Linked DNA regions of Mus musculus: regions 2, 3 and 4 are each reported to be linked to region 1. The links are microRNA targets in miRTarBase. Many come from high-throughput screens and were not tested one by one. Region 1 holds a microRNA gene; each other region holds the end of a gene's coding sequence.

Region 1 (4,162 bases):
CACACTTAGCACTGTTACAACACACCCAAATCTGACTTAGTCGTATAGTACCATATTTCAAGAAGATAGCAGAAATTCAATGAAGTCGATTTAAAAACCTGGGGCTATTTACCTGGTCTGAGGTATGCAAGCTGTCCAAAGGTGGACACGTCTAAATAAATTTACCATGTCAGTTATCGGCCAAATGTTTTAGCATTTTTTTAAGCAGGATTTTCTTGGCTGAGAAGACAAGAAGACATTTTAATATCCATTGTAGAAACGAGAATGGGCTGGGCACTGATGGTGCACGCCTTTAATCCCAACACTTGGAAGGCAGAGGCAGGTGGATCTCTGTGAGTTGGAGTCTAGCCTGGTCTACAAAGTGAGTTCCAGAATAGCCAGGGCTACACAGAGAAACCCTGTCTTGGCAAAACCAAAGCAGAGCTGGGAGGAACTAGAATGTAAGTTAGAAGCAGTAGTATAGAATGAATGTTTGGCTAGGAGGAAAAGTACTCTATTTAATAAGATTAACTCTAGAGTCTGCCAGGTATCTGGCTTTCCCTCTTTAAATCCATTGATTTATCAACTAGCTTTTTTTTTTCCTGGGATACTGTGAGTGAGCCTAGGGTCTCGCACGTGCTAGGCAAGCTTCCTACCAGATTTACAAACCCAGACACTTTCTGTCACTGTACTGGGTTCTGAGTTCTCAGAATGAGCATTTATCCCACGTAGGAAACCATATTTATGAAACTAAGTGACTAAATATTGCATTAACTCATTTATAGTAAATGATCAGATTATGCATATAATAAACTATTGGTTTCCTAGGACCTACGTGGGACAAACTGGGAGGAAATCAGAGGTGACTACTAAAGAATACAGGGCTTCTTGGAGAGGAGTGAAATGGCCTAGATTTATCAAGTGGTTGCATAATTTTGTGAGTATATTTAAAGTTACTTAATTGTACCCTTTAAAATTTGTATAACTTCTTTAAAGATAAGGTCTCACTGTGTATCTAATTCTGGTCTTGAACCTGTGTGAAAACTTTCCTGCCTTAGCCTCCTGAGTGTTAGTATTATAGGCATGAGCCACATCTGGCAATTATACATCCTTTAAAGAATGGAAGTACAAAACACGCAGATTCTCAGTAACATTGTTATGAAAACACATTAAGAAGGGAAAACAGTCTCCAAGGAGAAGAAAACAAGAGGCTCTTCAGTCAAGTAATAGTCGAGGAGTATGGCAGAAAAGCCTGATGTACAGCATGCGTCCTGCACGCCATTTTGATTTAGCTATCGCATTAGTCCTTGGGTTCGCTTTTTGGGGGTTGGGGTTAAGACAGGGGTTCATTAAGATAGCCCAGTTCTGCCCTAAACTTGTGATCCTGTTTCAGCCTTGTAAGTGCTAGGATTACAAGCACATGCCACCACACCTGGCTTGACTTCACACTTTTAGCCTATGTCTAAATTATTGTAGGTAATCAGCAGATTTCCAAGTTTGTTCTCATTAGAGAACAGTCAATGCTCCATAGACTTAGTTAGCAAAACAGAGCTCAAGAATCATAATTCAATGTCAAGGGCCTGGGATGTAGTTCAGCTGGTATAGTGCTTGCCTAGCATGCATGAGGCCCTGGGTTCAGTGCCCAGGATCTCAAAAAACCAGGTGTAGTGACAGCACCTATAATCTTAGCACTGACACGGTGGAGGCATGAGGATCATCCTCGGCTACATAGTACATTTGAGGCTAGCTCAGGTTATACGGAATCCTGTTTACAAACAAAAACCAAAACCAACAAAGAAATGACAAAATAACCTTGGCCTTTGAGGCTCTGTATGACTGGGCAGAAAGGCTGAGGTTCATTCCTAATCAAAAAATGCTACCAAGTAAAAGAGCTTCTCGATATGAAGACCCTGCCTGAAACAAACCAAAAAGCATCAGGCGGGGTTCCTATCAAAATCCGCAGTGATTCCCTTTACACCTATAGAGTTTAACACAAGTAATGTGTTCATGCTCGTGGGAAGCAATAATCTCTACAGTAATGTTGAGCTTCTTAGCTTTCTAGCTGAAAAAGCTACTCCAATGTTGTCAGAGTAAACTACTGTTTCTGAAAAGCATCCAATGGCATGTCATCCTCCCCCTCAGCACCGCAGAGTGAAGATGGGAAGCTCCAGGCCAGCTCTCAGTCAGAAGCTGAGAACCAACTTCCTAAATGACCTGAATTTTCTAAGAGAATTCAAATAGATGAACTCCAAATATTTAGAACATATTTGGCCCAGTTTCTTTGCACATGTGCCTTTAGATAAAATGAGCCATTTCCTTTACTTTCACTAATTCACTAGTTTAGTACAACATAAACCAACAGACTTATAATGAGTGAGACTGGCTAATGACGATCAGTTTTCCTCAATCAATACTATTCTACTCAGGCAAGATAATGAAGTCACAAGTTGTCTTTTTGGTCTACTTTCAACTAGTCTTACATTATACAATCAGTGAAAATTTTACAACAAAAGAACATGAGTAGTTTTACAGCAAGATGAGCTTGTTAAATATATATGTTATGATAGAATTTCTGACACAAAAATTGCTCACTGCACACAGAATCCTAGAAATGATGAAACAAGACAGCTTATGTTAGACAGTATCAGGGAGTGGAGTCCGGAGAGAAACCATTAATAAAGTAAAAATTGGCAAGTATCTGTAAAAGTAGAGTCACTTTTTAGGGGACCAAAGAAAAACTGTAAAGTCACCATTTTGGTCTTCTTAAAGAAGTTGGTCTGATAAGAACTGAAGACCATTTGATTCTTGTGCTGCAAAACACAGATGGTATATGGTATTTCCAGGATTCCTAAAAACTGTAGTGCAAAAGAAAAGAAATCTATGAAAATAAATAATCACAAAAATCCGAACATTTTTTCAGGGAATTATGTTTGAAACAGTGACTTTTACAAAACATGGGAATTGTTTCAAATCAACAAAAGAACTCTATACGAAAGTTCAAAGACTCATTTCACAGATAATTCATACTCCATTTGATCGGATCGATAATATATAAACAAGGGCCCATAGATTAGTTTAACTAGCTCTGAAATAGCAATATAAATACTGATCTTGGGGGGAGTGTTTTACACCCCAAACTCCAATACTCAATTCTGTGTCTGTCCTGTTATTTAATTTGTAAAAAGCTTAACGGCGCAGTGAGTCAAACTTTCGTAACTTCAACGATGTATTAGAGGACAATGCATCTAGGTTTGAAGAATTTGTTGCATCTGAAGGCCGGAACAGCACTCGACCACGATGGTTAAACACATAAAAAGATGGGTGATTCCTTAAGGTATCAAATGTCCTTAAAAGAAAAAAGAACACCAATTTTTAGATAAACCTTTATAAAAGCCCATTTGAAAAGTAAGCAGGCTTCTAATGAATTACGAATTTGTTGTGAATTACAAATTAAACTATAAATAGTAATCACACTGTACTGTATATTTTTTCCTATACAGAGAATATATGAAACTTGGAAATGACCATAAAGTTCTCAGACTTTCTTTTCTTCAGCCATTCTCCCAGGAATGTCTAGCAATAATAACACACACATTCTAGATGAACTTCAATCACCATACCACCTTTCCATGCCAGCACACACACTGCACCTCTGATTATTCTCCTTTGGCCTTAAGTCATAGATATTTCAAGCCATATGAGATTTCACGGATCTGTTTTTCAGGTACAATGAAATCCCGTTTGGCCTTCTGTATGTACTATTGACCAAACTCATCGATTCTGCTGCCCCTTACTTGATGCCATTTGGTTTGGCTCCTTGCCTGAGATCCTTCAAAGACTCTTCCAGTGAGATTTGTATCCTCTAGAAAAGTCCATAAACATCTTGAGATATTAATGGCTTCTCAAAACACTAATTTAATTAATTTAAAAAATTAAAAAAGTATTAATTTAAACACTTTTAGTGTTTGCTTTGAAATATTATTTTCTGAAAAAAACCAGAGAATCTTCTCTTTATGGAAAAAAAAGACCAAATCTCAAAGTTAGCCCCATTTAACCACCCAAGAATACCTTCAAAATGGAAATATTTGAGAGGCAGCTCAAGGATTAAAAACGTGTACTGCTCCTGCAGAGAACAGGGTTTAGTTCTCAGCAACCATGCTGGGTGGGTGGCTCCTAAGCACCT
Region 2 (4,162 bases), not on the chromosome of region 1:
GGCTTTCCAGCAGCGCCTGGCCCACCAAACTGCAGTGCTCCAGGACGGTCTTACCCTTTCCAGTCTGGGTCTGGGTCCCAGCAGCACAGTGATGCTAGTGGTACAGAACTGCAGCGAGCCTCTGAGCATCCTGGTGAGGAACGAAAGGGGCCACAGCAACATCTATGAGGTCTTTCTGACGCAGACTGTAGACACGCTTAAGAAGAAGGTGTCCCAGCGGGAACAAGTCCACGAAGACCAGTTCTGGCTGAGCTTCGAGGGAAGGCCCATGGAGGACAAGGAGCTGCTGGGGGAGTATGGCCTAAAGCCCCAGTGCACAGTGATCAAGCATTTGCGCCTGAGGGGTGGGGGAGGGGACCAGTGTGCCTAAGGCCCCCATCCAGAGCCAGTGTTGGTTATAAAAGATGATGGGGGGGGGGGTATGGAGGACTTTTGGGATAGCATTGGAAATGTAAACGAGGAAAATACCTAATTAGAAAAAATATCAAAAAAAAAAAAAGATGATGCAATAAAAAGCTCTGCCTCTTGTTTGCTTGTCCCTCTCCAGAAATGCCCTTCTATCCATGGTGAGAAGGCTCTGGGTTGCCAAGTTAAGAGACAAGGATTTCACAGTGAGAGCCTAGTGAGGAAATGCCCCTTCCAGACCCTTTGAGTAATTAATTCACTTCTGGAGAAAGACACTTTTGCTGGGACCCAGTCCTTAGTCTCAGCCAGGCCCTAAAAATGTCCCCATGTCTACATATGGCTCAGGGACAGGTTAGGCCAGTTTCTACCAGTAGCAGGATGAGGCTCCTAATGGAACCAGTGAACTGCTGAGATCCTTTGGGAACAGTGAAGGAATGTTCTTACCTGGGTAAGCTGTGAAGGAGGGTGATGTGTTCTTTTGTATGTGTTCCTAGTCCCACCTGCACTAGTTCACAGAGGGTAGGATGGGGTCTCACCATTCAAATCAGCCACCTGCTGTTTAGGACATGGTAGTTAGCAAGTACACCTCATCCTCATCGGGGCTATAAAGAGGCCACTATAGGCAGGTTAGATGGGCACAAGTAATTGGAGGCTCATCTGTCCACAAAGGACATCATGTCTCAGATAGGAGGCACCCAATTTGAAAAAGCTTCACCCCCCTTTCTGCCTGATGGCTCTTTGTCTTTTCCTCTATCAGCTTACTCGGGCCTTTGAGTGCGCTTAGGGCACAAGCAAGTCAGTACAAGTCCTTCTGTGGTCCTTCAGACCTTTAAGAGAATTTGAGTGGAACCTCAGAAGACCCCCTTCTGGTTGGTGTGTTTGTGCTTATCTGGATTAGGTGATGCCAGATCTAGCAACGCTGGAGCCCACTGTGTAGATGCGACCTCAAATCTGGGTCCAGAAGGTGGAGTCTTTCTCAGGAGGAAGAGCTGCTGACACTCACACTTCACTCTGGCTTCTGGCTCAACAGCCTATGGAAGATAGCATAGTGTCTTCTCTCGTTTTTTTTTTGTTTTTTTTTTTTTCCAAAATTTTTTTCTTCACTTACATTTCAAATGCTATCCAGAAAATCCCCTATCCCCCCCCCCCCCACCCATTCTCTCGGTTTGTTTGTTTTGTTTTTGGTTTTTTGAGACAGGGTTTCTCTGTGTAGCCCTGGCTGTCCTGGAACTCACTTTGTAGACCAGGCTGGCCTCGAACTCAGAAATCCACCTGCCTCTGCCTCCCGAGTGCGCCACCACCGCCCTGCGCGTTCTTTCAACCTCCTGTAGGTCTAGTGCTAGCTTGGCTCCCGGGGGCCTCGGTTTATATCCTGCACTTAGCCAGGCCAAGCTGGGGAAGCTCTGGTCCACAGAGGGAGAGACGGAGGGGGCGGGGACGGTTCTGTAGCAAGACTGGAGAAGACTTAAGTCCACAAGGAGCATCACACTGGGCGGGTCTGGGCGCATTCGGCACAGTCACCGCTGACCGGCCATCGGCAGGGGGCGTGGCCTGTGGTGGCACCGGGACAGCCGCGGGGCCCTCTGCGCGCAGCCCTAGCGTCAGGCTGGGGAAGGGAAGGTCCGGCTCCGCCAGCGTCTCCTGTGCAGACCGGGCGAGCCCCTTGGAATTCCCAGCACGTCGCCCCTCGATTATACATCAACCTGACTTCAGCTGCATTTCCCGGTGGGAGGACAGTTCAGGCGGACGGGGGAGGGGCCCCGGCGCGACGCCTCCCCCTCCCCCAAGGCGGCCACCCACCCACCCACCCGGCCGAGCCCCCGCCCCAGCTCGGCGGGCGCCGCAGTCTCCGGGCTTTGTTCGCTGCCCGCGCGGGTCGCAGGGAGCGGGGGGCGGGCTGAGCCCTCAGGGGGCGGGGCGGGGCCGCCAGTCCCCGCCCAGTCCCCGCCCCGTCCCCGCCCAGTCCCCGCCCCACCCACGCCGTCCCCGCCCCGTCCCCGCCCAGTCCCCGCCCCACCCACGCCGTCCGCCCTCCCTCCTCCTCCGCCGCGCTGCGGTCCAGTCCTGCCCCCCGAGCGGTCCGGCCCGCGCGCTCTCCCGGCTCCCTCCCGCCGTTCCGGGCTGCGCCATGGTCCGCCCGCGGCTGAGCTTCCCGGCCCCGCTGCTGCCGCTGCTGCTGCTCCTGGCGGCGGCCGCGCCAGCCGTGCCGGGCGCCAGCGGGACGTGCCCGGAGCGCGCCTTGGAGCGGCGCGAGGAGGAGGCGAACGTGGTGCTCACCGGCACAGTGGAGGAGATCCTCAACGTGGACCCGGTGCAGCACACCTACTCCTGCAAGGTGGGCCCCGGCCGGACCCCACGAGACCCAGCCCTCTGGATTCCCAGCCCGGGGCTCCTCTCCCCCGTGGTCCCCGTCCCCGAGGCCCGCCCTTCGCGTGCCGGCCGCCCCGCTGCGACCCCGTCCCCAAGCCGTGGGAACGAACCCGGCACGTTTCTGCGGCCCCAGCTGGAGCTCCCTCGGCGACCGCCGAGCCTCCGGGGGGGGGGGGCGCTCGGGTCCCGGAAAACTCCGCCGCTCGGTGCGAAAGTTACTGCGGGGCCGCTGTGGCTCCTTTCACGGCGTCCAGGCCCCGGTTGCTGTCGTGCCCGCCCCCACCCTTGTCCAGAGCCCCTCTTTCTTGTTGGGAACAAGTGTACACCTTCGCCAAAAGGAACGAATAGGGCTCGGGGAGGCACGAGGGGGGACGAAGTCGACCTGTGGCGAGGCCTTTACCAGGGCGAGGGGTGGTCTGCAGGGAGTCAGGGGTGTGTGGTCTAATCTGCAACCCGGGGAGCCTGCGTAAGGTGCTGCAGCGAACGCGTGTCCGAGCCGGAGCAGAGAAATGGGCAGAGGGCTGTGGCTGAGTTTCCTGTGCTCGAGGCGCAGGGGCTCAAAGGACTGGGTTTCTCCTGCCATACGGTAGAATTAGCTCTGTTTCAACTGCAGCTGAATTTGAGAGCACCTTGGAATAGGTATGGGGTCGATACCCTCGGAATATCCGTTGCTGGTTCTCCTCGTCCCTCAAATCGCTTCGCTGGAAACAGGATTTGTTCTTACTCTTTGGGAATGAGAAGGATGGTGACTTCCTTCAGAGTACCGTGTGTTCATGGGATCCCCCCGCTGGGCCCCCTCCTCTCCCTGCCGAGGCACTTTGCCAAGTCCCTGCAGGATTTTCCCGACTTCCTCCCCGCTGCTCCTGGGTGTGGCTGGGGTGGGGGAGGTGTGAGAACTGTGAGCTTTCCCCCTTTGGGTTATCTCCCACAATAGTTGGGGGTGGGGGGCGCAGGTAGATAAAGTTCTTTAGGTGCTGCAAGTCTTAGGTGTCTCGCAGGAGCTAGGCAGGTGGAAAAGCTGCCCATTGTCTTTTTTGCTCCCTCCATTCCAGAACCCCAAATCCCCAGAGCGCCTCAATAAGGGGCTCCTTCCTAGAAATCCTTTCCAAAAAGTGTCTGGGGGCCCTGGACTTATCCTGTGGGCGCTGCGGGCTACATCTTCCAGCCATGTCTGTCAGAAAGGGTGCCCTCGGGGCCCTAAATAAGGAGGTGGAGGGTGGGGCTGACTTGCATTGCCCAAACTTGACTTTGTGGCTCAGAGCTGCCTCGCTGCACAGACTCAGGCAGACTATGGAGCAAAGAAGTGGGTCTTTACTTCCTGGGAGAGGTGTTGGCCCACACAAGGCTGTGAAGATCCCAGCTGGGATCTTGCTCTTAAGTCCTTTCA
Region 3 (4,162 bases), not on the chromosome of region 1:
AAAAGACAAGGTAATCCAGGCCAAGGCCAAAGCAGCCCAGACCAAGCACAAGGGAAAGCCAAAGGGATCGGTTCAGACCAGAACTGGAAGGGCAAACCGGAAAAACAGCTCTGAGACTGTGGGGCGGAAGAGGAAGAAGGCCGAGGAGACCAAGGGTCTTCCTCCTAAGAAGAGAGCACGGTGTGTGCCCCGACCTCCTAAGGTGTGGCTGGGGCCTGGAACGGCAAAACCTCGAAAGTCCCAGACCATAAAGGTAGACAGGAAGTGCTCAGATGACGAGGTCCGACAGTGTGCCCAGCAGATCCTCCGTGTGAATCTCTCTCCCGTGGTATGGCTCCAGCCCTTGCTACCATTTTGATCCCATACTCAACATCCCAAGCCCTTGCAGCAGTACTTGGGAAAACAGCGGAGCTGTCTGTGTGACCAGTGCATTGTGTAGTGCTCAGGACCCTGCTGCTTCCCGGATCCTGGGGACCTCGGGACTGGTCACCAACATCCTTTCAGAAACGGAGGATTTGGGTGGGGTGGTTTGCGGGAGGGGTGTTCTCATGGCTCAGTGCACTGTGACTTGTTCTTCAGATTGTATGTCCACGTTCATTCTATCATGTTTTATACCTTTCCACCTTGCGGTCTCCTTGCTCACCCTCCATGGTCTTATTTATCAAAAAAAAAAAAATTTTTTTTTTGGTGTGTGGGAGTTAGTGGCAAGAGGCTATCAGGAGTCTAGGAGCAGGCTTGGAGAGAGTGCCCTGGTAGCTTGAAGCAGGTCATCAATTTAAATGATAGGGTGACATTAAAGTGATGTTCTCGGGGTTCTGGAGAGATATGGGGAAAATCAGGTGCTGGTTTCTGGGAATGTGTTGAGAGAGATCCTGAGGGGAGGGTTAGAGCCACTACCTCTCCTCGAATGTCCCAGTTTTGAACCAGATGGGCCTGATTCAAAATTGTTTGCAGCTCAGTGGGAAATCCGGCACCAAGCAGGTTTTTAGGCCAGGGAAAGAAGTCTTTGTGGTGTTGCTCTCCGGAGGCCCAGCTTTAAGGTTTTGCCTGAGCTTCTCTTGGCGGAGGAAACATACTTAAGAGGCTTGAAGTGCCTCTTTTCTGCTTTACAGGGACTAGCCTCAATTTTCCCAATTGGTGACAAGAGGCTAGGCTCTGAATCTGGACCACAAAACCTTCCTTACTGTCCAGAGCATTTTCTCTGTGGTAACGGGTGATGGAACCAGGGACTGACTCATTTCCACAGGCTCCATCTTTCTCCGGGGTCCAGCCTCACCATGTCCCCTAACGTGACCCGTACACATTGGACATTGGTAGCTTCTGCTTTGGAGAAGCTGGGCCCTCAGTGGAAGCAGCTGCTCAGGCTGGAAGGTAGTGCTGAGGTGGAGAACCTGCAATCCTTGTACTTGGGGATTTGACTGAGTTTGAGGTCAGTATCAGCCACATAGTGAGACCCTCTCTGCCTGTCTTTTGTTTGTCTTTTGAGACCGGGTTTCTCTGTGTAGCCCCAGCTGTCCTAGAACTTAACTTTGTAGTCCAGGCTGGCCTCAGACTCAGAGATCTGTCTGCCTCTGGCCAATCACGGGAATTAAAGGCATGGGCCACCAGACCAAGCCAGGCGAATGAATGGCTTAACTCTACTGGTTAAGAGGATTTAGCTGCTTTCCCAGAAGACCCTTTTGCGACTCCCACAAAAGGCAGCTCACAGACCCCTGTATCCATCTCCAGGGATCTGGCATCCATGATCACAGGCAGACACCTGTATCCATCTCCAGGGATCTCGCATCCATGATCACAGGCAGACACCTGTATCCATCTCCAGGGATCTCACATCCATGATCACAGGCAGACAGACAATACAAATAAATCTTTTAAAAAAGACCAATGGCACAGCTGAATTAAGCATCAGTTCTTTGAGAAAAGGTGGTGTTGAGAATCTTGAACTTCAGTGATGTTGATAAGCAAAAGAATCGTGTGAAATACCTTAAATAAATACTTATTGGCCAGGCTGGAGAGATGGCTCAGAGGCTAAGAGCACTGGTTGCTCTAAAAGGACCTGGGTTCAATTCCCAGGACAGATCTGTGGTTACATGCATGCAGGTAAAACACCTCTGAGCTGAACTTTGGCTAGTTTGTGGGTTCTTTTTTTCTTCCACCCTTTTGACACCTTAACACTAGATAGAAGAGAAAAGGATAGAAGGAAAAGGGGGCAAAGTTATCATTATATTACTCCCTGCTGACTAGGGGCATTGGGACAAATTTGATCTTTGCCATCAGGATATCTAATTTCTTCTTTGCACATGACTACTTAACAAACTTTGGCCACCAACCTACCTTTGGGGCCTAACATTTATATACCCTGTGAAAAGTCCCCAGAATTCCAAACATCACACCATTGCAGAAACTACCTGCAGTTGGCAAAATCATGCCCCTGCTAGAGCATGAGGCACATCAGCTGCTGTGGACGGTCTGAAGCAGCCCCACATCCTATACCTGGGATTAACATGAAAGCATATTCTTACATTTCTGTGGGTTTTTTTTAAGGTTTATTTTATGTATATGAGTACACTGTTGCTGTCTTCAACAGACCAGACGAGAACATTGGATTCCATTACAGATGGTTGTGAACCACCATGTGGTTGTGAGAATTGAACTCAGAACTTCTGGAAGAGCAGTCAGTGCTCTTTTTTGTTTGTTTGTTTGATTGTCTTTCAAGACAGGGTTTCTCTGTGTAGCCCTGGCTGTCCTGGAACTCACTCTGTAGACCAGGCTGGCCTCAAACTCAGAAATCCACCTGTCTCTGCCTCCCAAGTGCTGGGATTAAAGGCCTGTACCACCAATACCCAGCTGCAGTCAGTGCTCTTAATTGCTGAGCCCTTTCTCCAGCCCCCTCTGTTTTTTTTTTTTTAAACAACAAAATATTCACAACACTTATACACCTATAAATGAATAAGAAGATACATCTACTGACTTTCGACTTTCCAACAAGAAGAAGACTAAGTAGACTGGGCTGGGAGATGCTTTAGGAGGTATTTTCTTTTCATGCAAGCATGAAGGGTTAAGTTCAGGTCTCCAGAACTAAACAAAATGCCAGGTACTGCCGGACAGAGGCAGGACCTAGGACTCACCGAACAGCCATTCTAGCCAAAATGACAAAACTACCTTCAATGAAAACTGTCTGGAAAACTAAGATGGAGGCTCAGTACTTAAGAACATGTGCTGCCCTCACACACAAATCTAGGACTAGAATTTGGTTCCCAATGCTCACATTAGGTGTCTCACAACCACCTATAACCCAGCTTCAGGGCATCTGATTCCCTCTTCTGTTCTCCATGGGCACCCACATTAAAAAGTTTTAACCTCGGGGGCTGGAGAGATGGTTCAGAGGTTACGAGCACTGACTACTCTTCCTTAGGTCCTGAGTTCAAATCCCAGCAACTACATGGTGGCTCACAACCATCCATAATGAGATCTGCTGCCCTCTTCTGGTGTGTCTGAAGACAGCTACTGTGTATTTACATATAATAATAAATAAATCTTTGGACCACAGCAAGTGGGGCAGGAGTGAGCAGAGGTCCAGATTTCAATTCCCAGCAACTACATGATGTCTCATAACCATCTGTACAGCTACAGTGTACTCATACATAAATAAATATTTTAAAAAATGTTAACCTCATCTCTTGCTGGGTGTGGTAGAATACACCTTTAATCCCAGCACTCAGGAGACAAGAGACTGGTAGTTTTTTGTCATTTCAAGGCCAACCTGGTCTACTTGGTGAGTTCCAAGATAGCCAGGGCTATGTAAAGACTGTTGGATGAGTATATGTGTGTGTGTATACATAAACACATATATATGCCTCCATCTCTCTTTGAGACAGGGTCTCACTATGTAGCTTTGAAGGACCTGGTGCTTGCTATATAGACCAGGCTAACCTTGAGTTCCTAGAGATTACTTGCCTCAGCCTCCCAAGTGCAACTTTTAAAAATCATAAGATTGGGAACTTGAGAGATGACTCTATTGTTAAGAGAGTTCACTGCTGTTGCAAAGGACCAGGGTTAGGTTCTCAGCACCCACAGCATAGCTCACAACCACTCATAACTCCAGTTGCAACAGATCCGATGCCTCCCTCTGGCCTCCAAGTGCAGGGCATGCATATGGTAT
Region 4 (4,162 bases), not on the chromosome of region 1:
GTGAGCCACCATGTGGTTGCTGGGATTTAAACTCAGGACCTTTGGACAAGCAGTCAGTGCTCTTAACCGCTGAGCCATCTCGCCAGCCCCTGTGCAGCACTTTGAAACGCACACTCCACACATGAGTCTTCTGTGGCTGTGGGAGTCTAAAGTGAGGGAGACACAGGCACAGGCTGGTAGCCTGGGACGTGGCGATCCTTTTATCCGTCTTCACGAGTAGTACAGACTCAGGACGAAGGGTGACATACTTACCCAGCCTCTTGCCTTGTAGGTGTGTACTGGGAAACACCACCATCTTGGCTGAGTTTGCCGGGGAAGAAGAAGTGAACCGGTTCCTGGCCCAAGGCCAAGCCCTCCCACCCACCTCCAGCTGGCAGTCCAGCAGCGGGGGCAGCCAGCCCAGACTGGGCACCTCGGGCAGCACCCATGGCCTAGTGCGCAGCGACACTGCCCACTGGAACACCCCATGCCTGAGTGGCAAAGGCAGCAGTGAGCTGCTGTGGGGTGGGGTCCCCCAGTACTCCAGCAGCCTGTGGGGCCCGCCCAGTGCTGAGGACGCCAGAGTGATCGGCAGCCCCACGCCTCTCAACACTCTGCTGCCTGGGGACCTGCTCAGCGGCGAGTCCATCTAGGGGCCACGGTCACTGGGGGAAGAGAGCTGACCATGCCAGGGCCGGCTCCGAAGCTCCAGCTGACGGACAAGCTGCCCCTTGGAGTACCTCTGTCCAGTCTGAAGATGAACCTTGGCCTCGGCCCCTGTGAACTGTTGAAGACAGTGCGGGCTGAGGTTGGTCAGTGTCATGTGCTAAGGACAGGACGTCTCTCATAGCTTTTTATTTCATGTCGTCTTAGGTTTGTACAGTGCGCTGCCATTTTGAGTTTTAAGTATAAAAGCTGCTTAGAATAGTTCTATCATGAAGGGCACTTTTCAGATTGTGGGCTGGAAAGGGTTATTTTATGGTGGGGTGGGGGGAGACTTGAAGCCTATTTAAAGTGAGCCTGTGACGATTATGCACATTACAGAGGCGGTAGGCGGGACAGGCGGCTGGGCTGCGTTGTGCGGGCACAGAGCTGAGGCGTGTGGCCAGTGCTCTGTCCCCCCGATCGCCTGCGCACATTACCCTCGTTTCGTTACCTTTTCATGTCATTTTTTTTTATCCCAAAAAAATATTTTTTAAAAGTTAAAAAAAAAAAGACATATCAAACATGCAAATACTTGAACCCAGCAGGCCAATACCGAAATGTGAACACTTCCACGTTGACATCCGTGCACAGAAACAGGCTCTAGGAAATGTCTACGTTCATAGCCTACATGTGCGTGTATGCGTGAGTGCGTGTGCTTGTGTGCTTGTGTGGTGCGGTGTGCAGAAGAGTGTGTGTGAGTGTGTTCTTGCACAGGCAGGGCTTCCTGTGCGTGCGTGCGCACTTGAGTGTGTGAGGGACTTAACTGTGGGTTTCCCTTCTAGTCAGTATATGCTTTTGGTTTTGGTTTTTTTGGGGGTTTTTGTTTTTGTTTGTTTTGTTTTTTGTTTTTGGCATTGGTCAAATGTTCTCATTGTTGTTATTTGCTTCTAACTTTGCACTGAGGTGTCTCTGCCCTTCCTTTAGCTAATCCTAAACAGTAAAGAGAATTCTCGGGACAGGGCTGGTGACAATTCATGTGTAAATGTTTACTCAAGGACTCTGTTGTTGCATTTAAAGTCGCAGTGTATATCTCTGGAGAAATGATGTGTCTGTCTACTTCAGCAGCTTGTCATTGTGGACTCATGCAGAAGATTATTACCAGAGTATTGCACCACTTCCCATCTGCAATATAAAGTTAAAGAGAAAAACAAACTCTTGTTGAACTGTGGCCATAGATACTTGTAGAGACTGGTGCCGCGCACGAGGCGCGGGCGGGCGGGCGGCCGGCCGAGCACTTGGACGTGGTGGTGACTGCTTTTGGAGGAGCTGTGTTTGGGCTCCCACCTGTTTACAGACTTTTTTTTTTTTTTTTTCCTCCTTCAGACTTTAAAATAAAATTTTAAAAAAATTTTAAAAATGTTAAAAGGAATAAAAAAAAAAGACTTCCATCATTTAAAACAAACAAGCAAACAAACAGCAACCTATTTTCAGATACAGATGTGTTGCTCCAGAGCTCTGGGATGGGACATGCTGTTCCCCTCCAGCCGTCGCGCGTGCGCGGACTCTGTGGACTGTCTTCACCCCTCCTCAAGGTGACAGGGCCTCGTGGTCTCTGTCTTGCACACGCCAGCTCGCTCTCAGGAACGCCAGGGCTCCCGAGGGCGGTGCCACACCACTTCATGTATTTTTAAACCCAACTCCTAGCACTGAAGATGTTATTTAAAAAAAAAAAAAAAAAAAAAGAGAGAGAAAAAAAAAGAAAGAAAAGAAAAAAACACACACACACACACAAAGAAGAAAAATACCTAATCTCTAATGTGTAGCAGTTACATATTTACCAAATAATGGACTCAAAAGAAATAGATGTTTGAAGAGTGCTTTATATATTAAAAATTGCTTTATGTTTTAAAGATGATCAATGTTTTGATTGTTTTACAAGGAAGAAAGACAATGAAATCACACACCCTCAAGTATGTTTTAGAAAAGTATATGAACATTGTACTCCCTGCCTACGTGGTCGGGAAACTTGTGCATTACATTTTTTAATTAGCTTTTTAATGGTTTTATCAAAACAGAAAGCAAGCAAGCAAGTCCTGCACGGTTGCAGCAACGCAGTGCTTTCTTAGAGGATCAGGAACTATGCACAACTGGGTTCAAAACTTGTTCGAGTTTTGTTATGTATCCCACGGAATGGCCCTCCTCAGAGTGACTGCATCTCATCGCCATTACGTGCGTCCTAGATATTTGATGTATGTATATCCAAGTATGTATATCAAATACGTGCGTGTGCGCGCTCCCAGACGCACAGCTTGCCATGCTGCCATTTAGCACTGAGTTGTAGAAAAACTCATGTTTTAAAACTGGGGATGGAAGGAAAAGATGTTCCCAGTTTTTGTGGGCTTTCCCCTCTTTTTCCTTTTTGATCCTTTTGAATTTTAAATGTCTCTGACTCTAAGATTAAAAGAAAAAGTTTGTGGCGCTTAATGCCCTCCTCTTGGAATGTGATGGTTGGACGCACACCGGAGGTTGCTTTCGAAAAATAACAGCGCTTTGTTGAGTCTTAATAAACTGCAGTTTTTCTTGGCTATTGATGTAATTGCTGTGTCTTTCATCTGTGAAAGGCAGGTGCTTCCTTTTCATGTGTGGAGACAGCCTACTATGTCTCTGCTGAGTTTGTACTCGTCTCTGCCGAAACTCGCAGTCTGGGCCATTTGAGGTGTTTGTATGTAGCCTTTGCTCTTTGGTTCTGCTGCGAATAGTGGATCCTTTTAGTAGCCATTGGGAGGCGTCCCAGCTTCCACGTCCTCCCAGGACCACCACCCCACAGTCACTCACACGCCCAGTGCCAGCATTTTAAGAAAAAACAGTAATCGTAATGGAGAGGCTGGGGTGTCGCTCAGTGGTCTTCGTGTGCAGGCACAAGGCCCTAGTTCCATCCCCAACACTATCTGGAAAAAACCAGTGGTATGTATCTGCAGTCCCAGCACACAAGAGGCTGTGCCTGAGTCCACAGGCTCAAGACCAAGTCAGACAACACAGCAAGACCCAACATGTGCTTCCCAAGTGTTTTATTGATCTCTTTCCCCTAAAACCATAGTGGCTAATGTGCACAAAATGGCATGGCTGCCAGCAGGATCATGGGTGACACGGGAAGTAGAAACATGATGTCAGCTTTCACCCTCGAATATCGACCCACTATGTGCTGAGGATGAGCCCTGGCCTACCAGGGGACTCAGGAAAGAACAGGAGCTGCTAGTTCTGCTAAGAAAATCACTGAGGAGGCCCCTGGCCCCAGGAGAACCCAAAGACCAGAGGAAGAACGAGACTCAGAATGGCACGCTGCCCTTGATCTTCCAAGAACTGCAGCTCTGCTGGCCAGAGCACCAGCGGAAGAGCAGGCAAGGCCAGACTAGTAGCAGCCTGCGGCTCAGGTACTTTCGTCTCTTAGGGGTAAAGCAGCAGTGGCTGGTGTCTTTGTGAAATGCTGTGCCTTGAAGACTTCCAGGGAGTGGACAGTCGGTTTTGTGGTGGAGGTGGC

The links. The annotated mature microRNA mmu-miR-5116 reads UUUGAUAGGAACCCCGCCUGA and lies in region 1 at 1,914-1,934, opposite strand. An mRNA with a match to its seed (bases 2 to 7 or 8) in the 3' UTR can be bound and repressed. Matches are read on the target gene's strand: a 7mer-m8 pairs with bases 2 to 8, a 7mer-A1 pairs with bases 2 to 7 and ends in A, and an 8mer does both.
Region 2: the mRNA of Isg15 is a reported target of mmu-miR-5116. Seed matches in the 3' UTR shown: 7mer-A1 at 483-489.
Region 3: the mRNA of Ccdc71 is a reported target of mmu-miR-5116. Seed matches in the 3' UTR shown: 7mer-A1 at 660-666.
Region 4: the mRNA of Tnrc6c is a reported target of mmu-miR-5116. Seed matches in the 3' UTR shown: 7mer-A1 at 1,199-1,205, 7mer-A1 at 2,689-2,695 and 7mer-A1 at 2,895-2,901.

What each region holds. Positions count from the first base shown.
Region 1 is chrX:56,585,979-56,590,140 of GRCm38, forward strand. Mir5116 (microRNA 5116) reads right to left here and starts at 1,936; the gene lies at 1,874-1,936. It overlaps Mmgt1 (membrane magnesium transporter 1), which reads right to left. Exons shown (of 4, transcript NM_146234.4): 4 at 1-3,325. The coding sequence ends at 3,166.
Region 2 is chr4:156,195,792-156,199,953 of GRCm38, reverse strand. It overlaps Isg15 (ISG15 ubiquitin-like modifier), which reads left to right. Exons shown (of 2, transcript NM_015783.3): 2 at 1-530. The coding sequence ends at 370. Agrn (agrin) reads left to right here and starts at 2,466. Exons shown (of 36, transcript NM_021604.3): 1 at 2,466-2,740. The coding sequence starts at 2,534. Gm46878 (a long non-coding RNA gene) reads right to left here. Exons shown (of 4, transcript XR_003955191.1): 4 at 451-1,436.
Region 3 is chr9:108,463,934-108,468,095 of GRCm38, forward strand. It overlaps Ccdc71 (coiled-coil domain containing 71), which reads left to right. Exons shown (of 2, transcript NM_133744.5): 2 at 1-2,013. The coding sequence ends at 358. Among named protein-coding and RNA genes, the nearest start is that of Ccdc71, 5.5 kb to the left of the region's middle.
Region 4 is chr11:117,760,220-117,764,381 of GRCm38, forward strand. Tnrc6c (trinucleotide repeat containing 6C) reads left to right here. Exons shown (of 22, transcript NM_198022.2): 22 at 272-3,220. The coding sequence ends at 632. Among named protein-coding and RNA genes, the nearest start is that of Tmc6, 18 kb to the right of the region's middle.